Linked DNA regions of Lonchura striata. The protein of the gene in region 1 purifies or fractionates together with the protein of each later gene. This does not show direct contact. Links are inferred from orthologs where the notes say so. Each region holds a gene or a part of one and is shown in the gene's direction. Other genes may lie near its edges.

Region 1 (7,848 bases):
GGTGGCCAGCTCGCAGGGCCGCAGGATGGACGAGCAGCGGCTGCCGGTGCCCCGCCTGCCCGGCTTCGGCTCGGGGGGCACGCAGGTGGGCACCGGGCACCGGGGGTACCGGGGTACCGGGATACCGGGGGGTACAGGGACACCGGGGTATCGGGGGGCTTCGGCTCGGGGGGCACGCAGGTGGGCACCGGGCACCGGGGGCACCGGGGGGTACAGGGATACTGGGGGGCTTGAGCTCGGGGGGCACGCAGGTGGGCACCGGTAAGGTACCGGGGGTTACTGGGGGGCACCGGGCGGGTACCGGGGGGGCTTCGTCTCGAGGGGGGCATTGGGCACCGGGGGTACCGGGGGGCACCGGGAGGGCACTGGGGGGGTTTCGGCTCGGGGCGGGGGGCACGCAGGTGGGCTTTGGTCAGGGGGGGCACAGGGTGGGCACGGGGGTGGGCACCGGGTGCTCTGTGAGACCCCCCAGGAGTTTGGGGAGGGGGCTCAGGGGGGCACCCAGGGTGGGCACCGGGGGCACCCCCAGGGCTGGGAGCACCCCGCGAGTGCCCCTCCCCCCTCTGCCCGCAGGACTGAAAGTCCCGGGACCACCCTGGACCCCCTGGCACCCCCCCAGGACCCCCTGGCACCCCCAAATACACCCCAGACCCCCTGGCACCCCCCCAGGACCCCCAAATACCCCCCGGGATCCCCTGGCACCCCCCCAGGACTCCCCCCAGGACCCCCTGGCACCCCCAAATACACCCCAGGACCCCCTGGCACCTCCAAATACCCCCCAGGACCCCCTGGCACTCCCAAATACCCCCTGGGACCCCCAAATACCCCCCGGGATCCCCTGGCACCCCCCCAGGCCCCCTTGGCACCCCCTCGGGACCCCCAAATACCCCCCGGACCCCCAAATACCCCCCGGACCCCCTGGCACCCTCCTGGACCCCCTGGCACCCCCAAATACCCCCCGGACCCCCTGGCACCCTCCTGGACCCCCTGGCACCCCCAAATACCCCCCGGACCCCCTGGCACCCTCCCGGACCCCCCTGGCACCCCGTGCCCGCCCCTCGCCCGCTGTGTCCCCAATAAACCCCGAGCAATGGGCCTGGCACAGCGTGGGGACACGGGGGGACACCGGGGGGGACCTTGGGGACACGGAGGTGGCACCGAGGGTGGCACCAGGCAGGGGGTGACACTGGGGATGGCACCAGGGTGACACTGACACATCTCGGGGTGATACTAAGGGTGGCACCAGGCAGGGGAGGTGACACCAACACCTCTGGGGGTGGCACCGGGCAGGAGGTGACACTGGGGGTGGCACTGACACCTCTGGGGGTGGCACCAAGGGTGGCACTGGGCAGGGGAGGTGGCACTGACACCTCTGGGGGTGGCACTGAGGGTGGCACCAGGCAGGGGGGTGACACCGGGGGTGGCACCGACACCTCTGGGGGTGGCACCAGGGGTGGCACCTCTGGGGACCTTGGGTACACGGGGGTGGCACTGGGCAGGGGGTGACACTGGGGATGGCACCAGGGTGACACTGACACCTCTGGGGGTGGCACTGAGGGTGGCACAGGGCAGGGGGTGACACTGGGGGTGGCACCGACACCTCTGGGGGTGGCATCAGGGGGCACCTGTGGGGACCTTGGGGACATGGGGGTGGCACTGAGGGTGGCACCGGGCGGGGGGGGTGACACGGACATCTCTGGGGGTGGCACTGAGGGTGGCACCGAGAGACGCTGGCAGCACTCAGGTGACATTAAAGGACACTGGACGCCCGTGGGGGTGGCACCAGGGGACACCGAGAGACACAGGGGTGGCACTGAGGGGTGGCACTGAGGGGTGGCAGTGCCCCCCTGGGGACACCCCGGGAACACTTTGGGGACACCCCGGGGACACTTTGGGGACACCCTGGGGACACCCCGGGGACACTTTGGGGACACCCCGGGGACACTTTGGGGACACCTTGGGGACACCCCGTGGGCGGTGCCAGCGCTGTTTATTGGGGTGGGGACAGCTGGGAGTGCCACGTGTCCCCTGGCACGTCACACACGTGTCACACACACGTGTCACGCGTGTCACCGACGGTCACAGTGGTGACACCGGGGCTGTCACTGTCACTGAGGTCACAGCGGTGACACCAGGGCTGTCACTGTCACCAAAGTCACAGCAGTGACACCAGTGCTGTCACCATCACCGAGGTCACAGCGGTGACACCAGGGCTGTCACTGTCACCAACAATCACAGCGGTGACACCGGGGCTGTCACTGTCCCCTCTGTCACCAGCGCGTGCCTGGCACCGGTGTCACCGTGTGCCCACGGTGACAGGGTAGCGCCAGGCGTGTCCCGTGTCACCGCCACGGCGCCGGTGTCACAGCAATGCCACGTCCCTGCTGCCGCCGCCGTGTCCTCGCTGCCACCGCTGTGTCCTTGTTGTCACCGCTGTGTCCTCGGTGTCACCGCCGTGTCCTTGGTGTCACCGCCGTGTCCCTGTTGTCACCGCTGTGTCCTCGTTGTCACCGTGTCCCTGTTGCCACCACCATGTCCCCGCTGCCACCGCCGTGTCCTTGTTGTCACTGCCATGTCCTCACTGTCACCGCCGTGTCCTCGCTGCCACCGTGTCCTCGCTGTCACTGCTGCATCCTGCAGGTGGCCGTGTGTCCTGCAGGTGGCCGTGTCCCTGCTGTCACCGTGTCCCCGTTGTCACCGCCGTGTCCCATGGGTGGCCGTGTGTCCCGTGGGTGGCCATGTGTCCCTGCTGTCACCATGTCCCAGTTGTCACCGCCGTGTCCCATGGGTGGCCGTGTGTCCCGCGGGTGGCCGTGTGTCCCGCAGGTGGCCGTGTGTCCCTGCTGTCACCGTGTCCCCGTTGTCACCGCCGTGTCCCGCGGGTGGCCGTGTGTCCCCTCTGTCCCCTCACGCCTGTGTCCCTCTCCTCTCCTGCAGCCGCTGCTTCAGCTCAGCCATGGCCTGGCGCTGAGGGGACAGGGACAGGGAGGGGACAGGGACAGGGACACTGAGGGGACAGGGACAGGGAGGGGACACTGAGGGGACAGGGACAGGGAGGGGACAGGGACAGGGACACTGAGGGGGACATTGGGGACACTGACAGGGACATTTGGGGACATTTGGGGACGCTGTGCTCTCACCCGTTCCGGCGTGTCCGGCGGGAAAATCTCCCTCTGCAAAGAGAGCGGCTCAGGGGAGGGGACAGCGAGGACAGCGAGGACAGCGTGTGCCCAGGTGTGTCCCCAGCTGTCCCCAGGTGTGTCCCAGCTGTCCCCAGGTGACCCAGGTGTGTCCCAGCTGTCCCCAGGTGTGTCCCAGCTGTCCCCAGGTGACCCAGGTGTGTCCCAGCTGTCCCCAGGTGTGTCCCCAGCTGTCCCCAGGTGACCCAGGTGTGTCCCCAGCTGTCCCCAGGTGTGTCCCAGCTGTCCCCAGGTGACCCAGGTGTGTCCCAGCTGTCCCCAGGTGTGTCCCCAGCTGTCCCCAGGTGACCCAGGTGTGTCCCAGCTGTCCCCAGGTGTGTCCCAGCTGTCCCCAGGTGTGTCCCCAGCTGTCCCCAGGTGACCCAGGTGTGTCCCCAGCTGTCCCCAGGTGTGTCCCAGCTGTCCCCAGGTGACCCAGGTGTGTCCCAGCTGTACCCAGGTGTGTCTCCAGCTGTCCCCAGGTGTGTCCCAGCTGTCCCCAGGTGACCCAGGTGTGTCCCAGCTGTACCCAGGTGTGCCCAGCTGTCCCCAGCTGTCCCCAGGTGACCCAGGTGTGTCCCAGCTGTACCAGGTGTGTCCCCAGCTGTCCCCAGGTGTGTCTCAGCTGTCCCCAGGTGTGTCCCAGCTGTACCCAGGTGTGTCTCAGCTGTCCCCAGGTGTGCCCAGCTGTCCCCAGGTGTGTCCCAGCTGTCCCCAGGTATGTCCCAGGTGTGTCCCAGCTGTCCCCAGGTGTCCCCAGGTGTCCCCAGGTGTCCCCAGGGGTCCGTGCCCACCTTCCTGTCGATCACGTGCCGCTGGAAGAGCTCGGCCTGGTTGGAGACCCAGAACACGGCGACGGGGAAGGACAGGTACACGCACATCTGGGGGAGCACAGCTGGGTCACCCGAGTGTCACCCCTGTGTCACCTGTGTCACCTGTTCCTATTCCCATATTCCTGTTCCCATCCCCATCCCCATCCCCATTCCCATTTTCCCATTCCCATCCCCATTTTCCCATTCCCATCCCCATTTTCCCATTCCCATCCCCATCCCCATTCCCATTTTCCCATCCCCATTCCCATTCCCATTTTCCCATTCCCATTCCCATTTTCCCATCCCCACCCCCATCCCCATTCCCATTTTCCCATCCCCATTCCCATTTTCCCATCCCCATCCCCATTCCCATTTTCCCATCCCCATTCCCATTCCCATTCCCATTCCCATTCCCATTTTCCCATCCCCATCCCCCATTCCCATCCCCATTCCCATTTTCCCATCCCCATCCCCATTTTCCCATTCCCATTCCCATTTTCCCATTCCCATTCCCATTTTCCCATCCCCATTTTCCCATCCCCATCCCCATTTTTCCATCCCCATTCCCGTTTCCCATCCCCATTTTCCCCTCCCCCCTCACCCTCAGGATCTCCAGCTTCACCCCCATGACTCCTCCAGGCCCCCCGCGCTTCCGGCTCCGCCAACCCCGCAGCACCGCTGACACCCATTGGCCACACCTCCAGCACCGCCGCATTCTATTGGCTGACAGCGCCGCTGCGAGGGGCGGACCCAAAGCGAGCCGCACCAATCAGAAGGGAGGGCGGGAAGGAGTGCGGCAGAGCCGCCGGAAGTGAGGGCGGCGCGCCGGAAGTGAGGCGGCGCGCGGGAAGATGGCGGCAGCTGAGGCGGAGATGGCGGCGCGGGAGGAGCCGCCGGGAGAGGCGGCGGGAGAGAGACCGGGAGAGGCACCGGGAGAGAGACCGGGAGAGAGACCGGGAGCGGGGCCCGGCCCGGAGCAGCCGCCGGCAGCGCTGGAGGAAGCGGCAGCGCTGGAGGAAGCGGCAGCGCTGGAGGAAGCGGCAGCCATGGCGGAACCGGCAGCGCGGGAGGAAGCGGGGCCCGCAGCGATGGCGGATCCCGGAGCGGGGCCGGGCCCGGCGCGGCCCGAGTTGTGCTTCGTGAGTGCGGGGCTGTCCCCTGCTGTCCCCTGGTGTCTCCTGCTGTCCCCTGCTGTCCCCTGGTGTCACATGCTGTCCCCTGGTGTCGCCTGCTGTCCCCTGGTGTCCCCTGCTGTGCCCTGCTGTCCCCTGGTGTCGCCTGCTGTCCCCTGGTGTCCCCTGCTGTCCCCTGCTGTCCCCTGGTGTCACATGCTGTCCCCTGGTGTCGCCTGCTGTCCCCTGGTGTCCCCTGCTGTGCCCTGCTGTCCCCTGGTGTCACCTGCTGTCCCCTGGTGTCGCCTGCTGTCCCCTGGTGTCGCCTGCTGTCCCCTGCTGTCCCCTGCTGTCCCCTGGTGTCTCCTGCTGTCCCCTGCTGTCCCCTGCTGTCCCCTGGTGTCAATTGCTGTCCCCTGCTGTCCCCTGCTGTCCCCTGGTGTCCCCTGCTGTCCCCTGGTGTGTCCTGCTGTCCCCTGGTGTCACCTGCTGTCCCCTCCTGTCCCCTGCTGTCATCTCCTGTCTCTTTCTGTCCCCTCCTGTCCCTTTCTGTCCCCTCGTGTCCCCTCAAGTTCCCATCCCTGTCCCCATCTCTGTTCCTGCGCCTTGCTGTCCCTTTTTGTCCCGTTTTGTCCTCTCCAGTTCTCATTCCTGTCCCCATCTCTATCTTTGTCCCCTCCTGTCCCCTCGTGTCCCTTTCTGTCCTCTCCTGTCCCCTCCCGTCACCTCGTGTCCCCTCCTGTCCCTTTCTGTCCCCTCCTGTCCCTTTCTGTCCCCTTCTGTCCCCTCCAGTTCCCATCCCTGTCCCCACATCTGTCCCTGTCCCTGTGTCCCCTCAGGAGGAGCCGGAGCTGTCCTCTGTCCCCTGAGAGTCCCCTCAGTGTCCCCAGTGTCCTCTCAGGAGGAAGAGGAGGAGAAGGAACTCCTCAGGAACCCGTTCTGGGTGTCCCCAGTGTCCCCAGTGTCCCCTCAGGAGGAAGAGGAGGAGGAACTCCTCAGGAACCCGTTCTGGGTGTCCCCAATGTCCCCAGTGTCCCCTCAGGAGGAAGAGGAGGTCCAGCACGAGGAGGAACTCCTCAGGAACCCGTTCTGGGTGTCCCCAGTGTCCCCTCAGGAGGAAGAGGAGGTCCAGCACGAGGAGGAACTCCTCAGGAACCCGTTCTGGGTGTCCCCAATGTCCCCAATGTCCCCTCAGGAGGAAGAGGAGGTCCAGCACGAGGAGGAACTCCTCAGGAACCCGTTCTGGGTGTCCCCAGTGTCCCCAGTGTCCCCTCAGGAGGAAGAGGAGGAGGAGGAACTCCTCAGGAACCCGTTCTGGGTGTCCCCAATGTCCCCTCAGGAGGAAGAGGAGGAGGAGGAACTCCTCAGGAACCCGTTCTGGGTGTCCCCAATGTCCCCAATGTCCCCTCAGGAGGAAGAGGAGGTCCAGCACGAGGAGGAGCTCCTCAGGAACCCGTTCTGGGTGTCCCCAATGTCCCCTCAGGAGGAAGAGGAGGAGGAGGAACTCCTCAGGAACCCGTTCTGGGTGTCCCCAATGTCCCCAATGTCCCCTCAGGAGGAAGAGGAGGTCCAGCACGAGGAGGAGCTCCTCAGGAACCCGTTCTCCGTGCGGGGCTGGCTCCGCTATGCCCAGGCCCGGCAGCGCGGGCCCCGCGCCCGCCTCAACCAGATCTACGAGAGAGCCCTGAGGGAGCTGCCCGGCAGGTACGGGCACCTGGGGGGCACCTGGGGAGAGCTGGGGGGCACCTGAGGGCACCTGGGGGGAGCTGGGGGGCACCTGAGGGCACCTGGGGGGAGCTGGGGGGCACCTGAGGGCACCTGGGGGGAGCTGGGGGGCACCTGGGGGGCACCTGGGGGGAGCTGGGAGGTGCTGGGGGCACCTGAGGGCACCTGGAGGGAGCTGGGGGGCACCTGGGGGGCACCTGAGGGGAGCTGGGGGGGCTGGGGGCACCTGGGGGGCACCTGGGGCATGTGGGGGAGGGCTGGGGGCACCTGGGGGGCACCTGGGGGACACCTGAGGGGAGCTGGGGGGGCACCTGAGGGCACCTGGGGGGCACCTGAGGGCATCTGAGGGGAGCTGGGGGCACCTGGGGTACACCTGAGGGCATCTGGGCGGGGCTGGGGTTACCAGGGGTACACGTCAGGGCACCTGGGGTACACCTGAGGGCATCTGGGGTGCTTGGGGGTGGGGCTAGGTGGCTCAGGTGGCAGGAGCAACATGGGTGACACAGGTGGCACCGGTGCCAGCTGTGCCACCTGTGCCAGCTGTGCCAGCTGTGCCAGCTGTGCCCTCTCCCCAGCTACAAGCTGTGGTACCAGTACCTGTGCCAGGTGTCACAGGGGTGCCGGGTGACCCAGGTGCCAGGTGTGCCAGGTGTGTTAGGAGTGTCAGGGGTGCCAGCTGTGCCAGCTGTGCCAGCTGTGCCCTCTCCCCAGCTACAAGCTGTGGTACCAGTACCTGTGCCAGGTGTCACAGGTGTGTCAGGGGTGTCAGGTGACCCAGGTGCCAGGTGTGCCAGGTGTGTTAGGAGTGTCGGGGGTGGCAGCTGTGCCAGCTGTGCCAGCTGTGCCCTCTCCCCAGCTACAAGCTGTGGTACCAGTACCTGCGGCAGCGGCGGGCACAGGTCAAAGGTCGCTGCCCCTCGGACCCGGCCTTCGAGGAGGCCAACGCCGTCCACGAGAGGGCGCTGGTGTTCATGCACAAGGTGAGAGGGGACACCTGGGACACCTGGGGACACTGGGGAC
Region 2 (7,817 bases), on another chromosome or scaffold:
CCAGAATGTGTGCTAAATAAATATTTATACACAAATCAGAATGCTACTGATGGCTTCTTTACACTTTAAAATTCTAAATATTTTAAGAAGCATCTGCTACTTAACTGAGGCATCATTTTTGAAAGTACCCATATTTACTGAGTGGAAGTACACATATTTAATGAGATGAACACAGTGACAAAAGTCTTGGACTAGAAGAATGCACATAAATAAAATAGTAAAACCAACGTGACATGATTGAATTAAAGCTGTAATGAACAGACTGAACATTTAGTTTATATGAATATTAACTGCTATGAAGGATGAGCTGTAACCAAAGCAATAACCCCCTGTCATTGTGGGGGGGATTTTTACATGTTAAAGGATTCCTCTAATCTTTTTTGAGAAGATTTTCTAAATTTTATTTACCTGAAAGGAGGTTTAAATCAATATATTTCTTCTATAATTTCAACAGGTAAGAGACACAGAGATTTCAGGTCTTCTTTGCTTAATGTACATATTATTCTATATTTAAATGCTGTTCATCCCCTCATCTTTTTAGAAACTTATTTAATATAACTTAGCAATAAATATTTAAAAATATTGCATATTCATAGTTACTTTTGTCCTTTGGTTAGAAGAAAAGTTGTACATGCAAGTTGGTATATTTACATGATGCATGATGACACTTGAAATTCTCATATGTGGAGATTTCCGTTTCAGAGCTTTTCAGAGGGATGCCTCTTGAAAAATCTCATGTGTATGTGCAAAAGTCAATAAATGAAGATAAAAGCTGATTTTAAAGTGTTGTGTTCCCCTAAGCTTTACAGACTCGATTCACAGAAAGCCTACCCAACATATGGCTTAGTGCCACTCAGGCTGAAATTCATCTGCTTTGAATTAAGGTGTGCAGCGTGCAGTTAGGTACCTCCCCAAAGCTAAGTGTACACATGCAGTATGATGCAATGATATTCCCACACAGCAGTGAGATGCATCCCAGATATTTTGACCTCCATCCTGAGAAGCATAGCTCTATTAAAACCCACCTCAATATTTGTAAGATGTGCACAGAGAAACCACAATTCAGCCATCAAAACTTAGCTGGTTTTGACTTTTCTGCACACAGAACATGGCTGTCAGAACACTCAAGGCTCGCTTTCAAAAAGGGAATATAAAATTCCCTTGGCCTCTGAGTTATGGAACACATGGGCCAAGAAACACTAAAGGTATTCAGTATATGCAGAAAGGAGAAAAAACTGCTGTTGAAATGGGAAGTACACCAGAGTCAATGATTTGGGAAAGAAGAGTCCACCTATCAGGCCCCAGTGTCTCTATCAAGAAGAAGTTGAGGCCAAAAGTCATGTACTGGAGCTTTATGCCTAGCTTGAAACTGTGCAGGTGGACCAGCAGCAAAACAACTCCTGGATGGGAGAGCACGGGGCAGTACAACAATGCTGCTGTCAGTGAGCTGCTTTCCTCTTTAATGAGAGTGGTGTTAGCATGCCCTCAGCTATGAGGGAACAGAGTCTTCACCCTGGAAAGAAGGTTTTTATATCTTCCATTCCATCTTATGTCAGGGGAACAATTGATCTGCTGCTCCCCTGGCCACCTGGATAGGTGAGAGTAGAGTTGTGATAGTAGCCACCCCATCATTCCAGATCAAAGAGCCAGGAATAGTCACTGCTGCTGTACTGCAAGTGACCAGGCTGAGGCACATGCGAATCATCTGTCCCAGCAGAATGCTTCCTTGGAGGAGAACAAGTCAGTTGTCCACCAGACAAGATGCCTGCTCATTATTTTGAAAAAAATTGCTGACTAGAATGGGTAAGATAATGCCCTTTTGCGTGCTGAATACAGTGATGGTATTTTTTACTTGCTTTGGAACAAAACTTTCCCACCAGAGTATAAAAAGGTGCAAGATGGTATCCATACACAGAGTCTACATCTTAGTGCAGAGTTTATGTCTAAGAAGCTGAAGTCTAAATCTTTGTGTGATAGACAAACAGTAAAAAGTGAGACAGTGTTTATATTAGAAGTACGGCCCTGCTGAATCTATGGCACTGCTTAATCTGCTGAATTCACTGGTCATGTCTCACTGATGACCCTATAACAATAACAAAATCAATTAATGTTTGAAATCTTTATCTATGAATTCTCTGGAGTTTTCATTGCTAGGAATTAATATTTTCTGTGACTTCAGAATCTAAAATAATTTACAAGGTAGAAAATACAGAACATAGACCAACCCCTGCTGATTATCACTAGGTACTTCCTGTTCTGGTGGAACTGTGCTCAGAAGAGTATAACTGAACTAAAAGCAATGGCCAGCTTACTGATGACCTTGGCTTACATGGTTTACAAAGAAAAAGAGAAAAGTATATTTTTCCCAATTACAATAATATAGAAAGGGAAGCATCCAAAACAAGGGAGCTAATTAAGCAAGAAAGCAGTATGGAATATAAATTGACCAGGACTGTATGCAGCCTAGAAATGAATAACAGTCTTGAAAACTGCATCAACTCAAATATGTGGCTTTTAAATAATACATGTCTTCATTAATGAATTAACAGGTTTTTGAAAGGAATGTTTGATTTTCTTGACATGTTAAGCCAATGAGTATAGAAAGATGGAGAACTTAATAGAAGGCTGTCGGGATGATGGGGTACAGGGTTTTATTTCTCCTCAGTTACAAAGGAGTTTGGAGTGGAAAGTGTCAGATGTGCCTCTACTCTGGGAGAAACTAAGCATAGGAATTCAAGAGACCAGTCTTACTGGACAGTTGTGAGCTGGGGTGAGATTTGCAGATGGGAACAAAGGTACAACACCGTGTGTCATTATGCTTGGTCTCACCACAATTCTTTAAAGGTTCCTCTGCTCTTGACGATGAAAGCTATGTATTTTTCCAAAGCACTAATTTATACTTTTGCTACTCATTTGTAGTCCTACTGTCCCCAGCACTCTCTAAATAAACAATACCCTCTATAGAGAAAAAAATTAATATATTACTTACAGGGAGGGGATCTTGGTCACTTTATTTGGCATTTTCACTGAGGCATCTAATATTAGTTTCTGATATCAGAAGCTCTTTTAGAGAATGAGAGCACTTGGATTAGCTCTGACTTGCCCTTTGGAAGGACTTCTGTGGCCACACTGACTGTAGTGAGATTGAAGACAACGGACCTCCTCACTGGGACACACAAATGCCAAAAGTTAGGCAAATGTGGATTCCTCCTGCAGGTTTCATAGCTTTGATATCATATAGAAATTTGTGGGTTTTGACACAGGCCTGATGATCCATCATAGCCAGAAGATTTAGGTTAGCCTTGCAAGGCTGTTGTAGAAAATTCACAATTTTTTAAACAAAATCTACAAAATCCAAAATGCATTTGCCTCTCCTAATTGTCCCATCTTAACATCAATCAACTTTTGACTTCCATCTGAAAGCCCATTCAGAAATTTTTCTATTTTCAGCCAATATTTATGGGTAATAAACTTACATTCCTTTGTCCTTTTTTATCACTGTTCTGTAGCTTCAATTTTAATCCTAGTTATTTACAAAATTTGTTACTGGCACTTTTGTAACTTTTAAATTTTACTAGTTTTCATCTTCCTGGATCTTCTAAAGTAAAGGCATGAAGTAGGCATATTTATTTGAATGCGGCCATTGTCTGATCCTGTTCAAGGTACTGTCATTGCTTTTCCCATTCCTATTGTACATTCTAATTCAACTTCAAAAAGAATATTTAGTTTAACCCCTGCTTGAAGAAATGAAATGGAGATCACCTTGATATGAAAACAAAGGAGGTGATATTCAAACAGACTTCAATGGGACCTGCCTGGAAGTTTAAAGTACTCAAGTGGCAGGTGATAGACAATGAGCCCAGAAACAAAGCACAGTAACTTCCCTAGGGAATTTGTTCATTTCCTCCTTAATTAGTTTACCAAATAGAATAAGTTAATTGCAAAGCATTCTAAAGCATTAGCAAACGGTTGACTTCCTTGAGCATGCAATTTCACCCTTGTACCCATGTCTTTGCTGCACACATTTCAAGAGATTCAACAGAGTATTCTGAGTTGGAAGGGACCCCATAAGGATCATCCTGTCCAACTCTGAAGTAAAAGATCTTAATTACGGGCCTGTGAACGGAACAGAGCGCTCACCCACGCTCAGGAGTCAGTGGCAATTCTTTGATATTAAAGAGAGTGTGTTCTTCCAGGTTAGATGGGCAGAAAGCTGCGCTCTAAGTGATACATAAAGCAGGCGTCCCCCTAAGCGTTGGAAGGCCGAGTGTGGCAGCAATTCTGTGTGCTGACAGTCTCCTTATCTGTTCCCGCAGCCTTTCAACACCGACCCCTGAACTCCGGCCGGAGGCACAGAGGGAGCGAGGGAGCTGCGGCGGGGCAGGGAGGAGCGGCGGCGGGGCAGGAGGGAGCGGCGGGGCAGGAGGGAGCGGCGGCGGGGCAGGAAGGAACGGCGGCGGGGCAGGAGGGAACGGCGGCGGGGCAGGAGGGAGCGGCGGGGCAGGAAGGAGCGGCGGCGGGGCAGGAGGGAGCTGCAGCAGCAAGGAGGGAGCGGCGGGGCAGGAGGGAGCGGCGGGGCAGGAAGGAGCGGCGGCGGGGCAGGAGGGAGCTGCAGCAGCAAGGAGGGAGCGGCGGGGCAGGAGGGAGCTGCAGCAGCACGGAGGGAGCGGCGGGGCAGGAAGGAGCTGCAGCGGCACGGCGGGAGCAGCAGATGGCGCGGCCGCTCCCGCCTCCCCGCGGCCGCTCCAGCCCTCCCGGCCCGGAAGCGCTCCCGCCTCCGCGGCTCCCGGCCCGGAGGTCCCTCCCTCGGCCTGGCCCGGGCTGGCAGCGCCGGGGCACCGAGGCCTGTGCCGGCGGCTCCAGCGGCGGCACCATGGCGGCGGCGGCGGCCGCGCCCTCGGCCCCGCCGAAGAAGATCGTGGCGCCCACGGTGTCGCAGATCAACGCGGAGTACGTGACACAGGTAGGGCCAAAGGCGCCTCCGGGCCGCCTCTGCCGCGGCCGGCGCTCAAAGGGACATTCCGGCTGCGACGGCGTCTCGGTGTTAAACAGCCTTTGTGGGCCGGGGTGCTGGGCCGAGGGGCTTGTCTGGTCGCAGTTGACGGGAGATGTGCGCCTGTGTCATGTACGAGAGGGCATTTCCCCCGCGCTTCCGAACGGCGGGATTTACAAAGCAGCGCTACCGAACGCATGGGTGCGATGCACTGTGCATCGCTGTAAGGCGTCTCTTAACGTGTGGAAAGCTGCCGAAAGCTCTCTGTTGGTTAAAGTTCTAAATGGTTTTCTACAAGTCGTCTCTTTTGTTTTCTTTTTTTTTTTTTTTTTTTTCCTTGGAAATCTGGTCTCCTTCTTGTTCCGGAACATAAAGAAGCTTGAATAAAGTTGCATAGGAAGCTCTTGTTATCATCGCTCAGGAGTACTGGTGGAGTGATGGCTGCAGCAAAGAGCCTTAACCTGCTAGGCTTTTAAATAGAACTTCTAGTTACTTGTCAGATTCCTCAAGGAAGCGTACTCACTTGCCATTTGGGATTTGCAGTTCCTGAAAAATCATGGTTTATTTTTGATGGATTTGTTAGAGGTAACTTAGGAATAGAAAATGTTCGTTAGATAGCAGCCTGTGCGTTTGAAATTTTCCCAAAGACTTGCATTTCTTTTGAAAGAGGTTTAGGCATAAAAGCTTTAAATGGTTGATAAGTATTGCTGTTAAAAACATTATTTTGTTACTTGTAGTTAGCATAAACTGAAATTAAGCAAGATACTAGTGAAATAAAGTTCGGGGATGGGATCTGTTGTAGAGATGTTATATCACTGACATGAAAATGTATGTATTTAACCTTTTTTTTTTTTCCTTGTGCAGTTAGCAAATAAATACTGGGCTCCACATGTGAAGAAGACATTGTCTTTTGATGTAAAGGTAATTACTTCTATTGGAATTTTGTTGGGGTCTGTAAAATAATGAGGATCAACCATTCCGTGGTGTGCCAATATTTAGTGTTATATGTTTTCTATGAGACTGCTTGGAAGGTCAACTATTGCTTGAGACACTGTTATTTGTTATGTATTTGTAGTTTATAAATGTAGGTGCTGTTTCCATGTAGCATGCAGTTATTTTGTATGCTGTTCATAATAAAATGTCTTAATGCATTTTGAATCATGTTAGTGGTTATCTAAAATTCTCTTAAATTTTTTTTCCATAGGTCATTGAAGATGTATATACAAAAGAAATTGTCAGGTCAAAGTAAGTACACCAGTTGTTTTCTCTTATTTACCACCATTCCAACATCATGCATGTTGTTGGAGTTTCTAATGTTTGATAGAATACTTTCAAACTCACCTATATATTAAAAGCAGATGAAAATTACTCAAGTGCATTTAAGTAATTACATCATTATGGTATTTCAAAGTATGAATGTAGTAACAAGAGAGTTCCTAAGCCCATAAACCTTAAACATGATGATTTGAGTTAATATTTTTCAGACCTTTTCCCTGGTAATCTGTTGTCTTTTATGTTGGTTTTGTTGTAGTGGTTATAGAAGGTTGATCTCTTCTTTTGTCTCTAAAGAGAAAAAAATGTTGTGGAGTGCACTGCCTTTGGCTTCCTCCTCTGTTCTGGCTGCTGTTACCAGATTCATAAAGGGAAAGTGGTTTCAGTGAATTGTACTGTTAGATGGGGAGCAATGAATCCAAGATACACTGCATTCTGCAGCTCTCTGCAGAAAAGAGGTGTAACTGTAGCTGGAGCTTTTTGGGGAAGAACAAGCTCTGCAGAGAATTCTCTATATTATTCCTGTATGAAAGCAATCTAAGACTTCGTCATATCGAGTCAAAGCAAACTTCCATTGCCAGTCACTAAGAAAAAAATACCATTATGAACAGATTACTTATATAATTGTAGTGTTCAGAAGACACTCTCAGCTGCTAGCAGTTTATATCATCAAGGCTATTAGAAGTGGTGTTTCATATTTAAAAGACCTACATGATTTTTTTTTTTTAAATGCGAATTTGATTGCTCTTTGAACTTTAGCATCTCCAGTGTTACAGCAGTTGCTTCTGCATTCAAGTGGTTGCTATTGCATGGAAATGTCAGGACAGAAATAATTCCTGAGTGTTTCTACATATTTCCTCATATAATGTAATAAAGGAAAGTATAGTCATTTTTCATGTAGCTGTGTGTCGGAGGCTTTCTTTCCTATGTTAATTGATTAATTTTTCCTTTTTAGGTTTGCGATCAGAAAGATAATGCTTCTTGAATTCAGGTAAGCTAAGGGGAAGGAAATTTGGAGTTATATTTTCATAGGAACCTGTAAAGGTGAGAAGGAAAAGCAGGGCAGTAAGACAGTTTGAAGGTACAGTTTGTTCCTACTTTCTAAGGCCTTGAATTGTGTACTGAGGAAAATGAGGAGAGCTTAGTTTAAAGAGGAAATAATTCCATAAATGTAAGTGACATCTCAGAGTGTCTTGTTTTATGATTATCAATGTCTAGTGTAAGAGGAACATGGAGAAAGAGACTGAATGAAATAAGGGAAAAAAACTTGGGACTGTAATTTGGAATGTATCATTAAGCTTTAAATCAGAACTTGCAGAAATTAGAGAAGGTTTTGGATTATATCTCTTGCTGTGAGGTTAAAAATGGATTGTGCTGCAGCATCATCATTAACATTTTCTTCTCTTGAAAAAGAACAGAAGTCTGTTTAAAGAGTAGTTTATTACTGCTTCAGACTTTCCTGGAAGAACTTACAGAGTATGTCTAAAACGATGTAAAATAAAGATTATCAATATGTACTTAAAACTACAATATTTTATGTTCTGCTTGGTTC

What was found. Proteins that work in one complex are often made in the same cells at the same time.
Region 2: the proteins of XAB2 (region 1) and AQR fractionate together in Homo sapiens (co-fractionation; 3 studies listed by BioGRID and IntAct, with this or other methods). This does not show direct contact. The link is inferred for Lonchura striata from reciprocal best matches to the Homo sapiens genes XAB2 and AQR.

The regions. Positions count from the first base shown.
Region 1 is NC_134623.1:2,281,126-2,288,973, forward strand, and holds the start of XAB2 (pre-mRNA-splicing factor SYF1), read left to right. Parts: upstream 1-4,837; 5' UTR 4,838-4,842; coding exon 4,843-5,130; intron 5,131-6,658; coding exon 6,659-6,807; intron 6,808-7,684; coding exon 7,685-7,808; intron 7,809-7,848. Other genes in the region: PCP2 (Purkinje cell protein 2 homolog), read left to right, coding at 1-85, 574-579; protein PET100 homolog, mitochondrial, read right to left, coding at 2,908-2,967, 3,141-3,173, 3,974-4,060, 4,593-4,706. UniProt on the Homo sapiens protein: Involved in pre-mRNA splicing as component of the spliceosome. Involved in transcription-coupled repair (TCR), transcription and pre-mRNA splicing.
Region 2 is NC_134608.1:29,474,066-29,481,882, reverse strand, and holds the start of AQR (RNA helicase aquarius), read left to right. Parts: upstream 1-4,816; 5' UTR 4,817-4,873; coding exon 4,874-4,963; intron 4,964-5,857; coding exon 5,858-5,914; intron 5,915-6,197; coding exon 6,198-6,238; intron 6,239-7,220; coding exon 7,221-7,256; intron 7,257-7,817.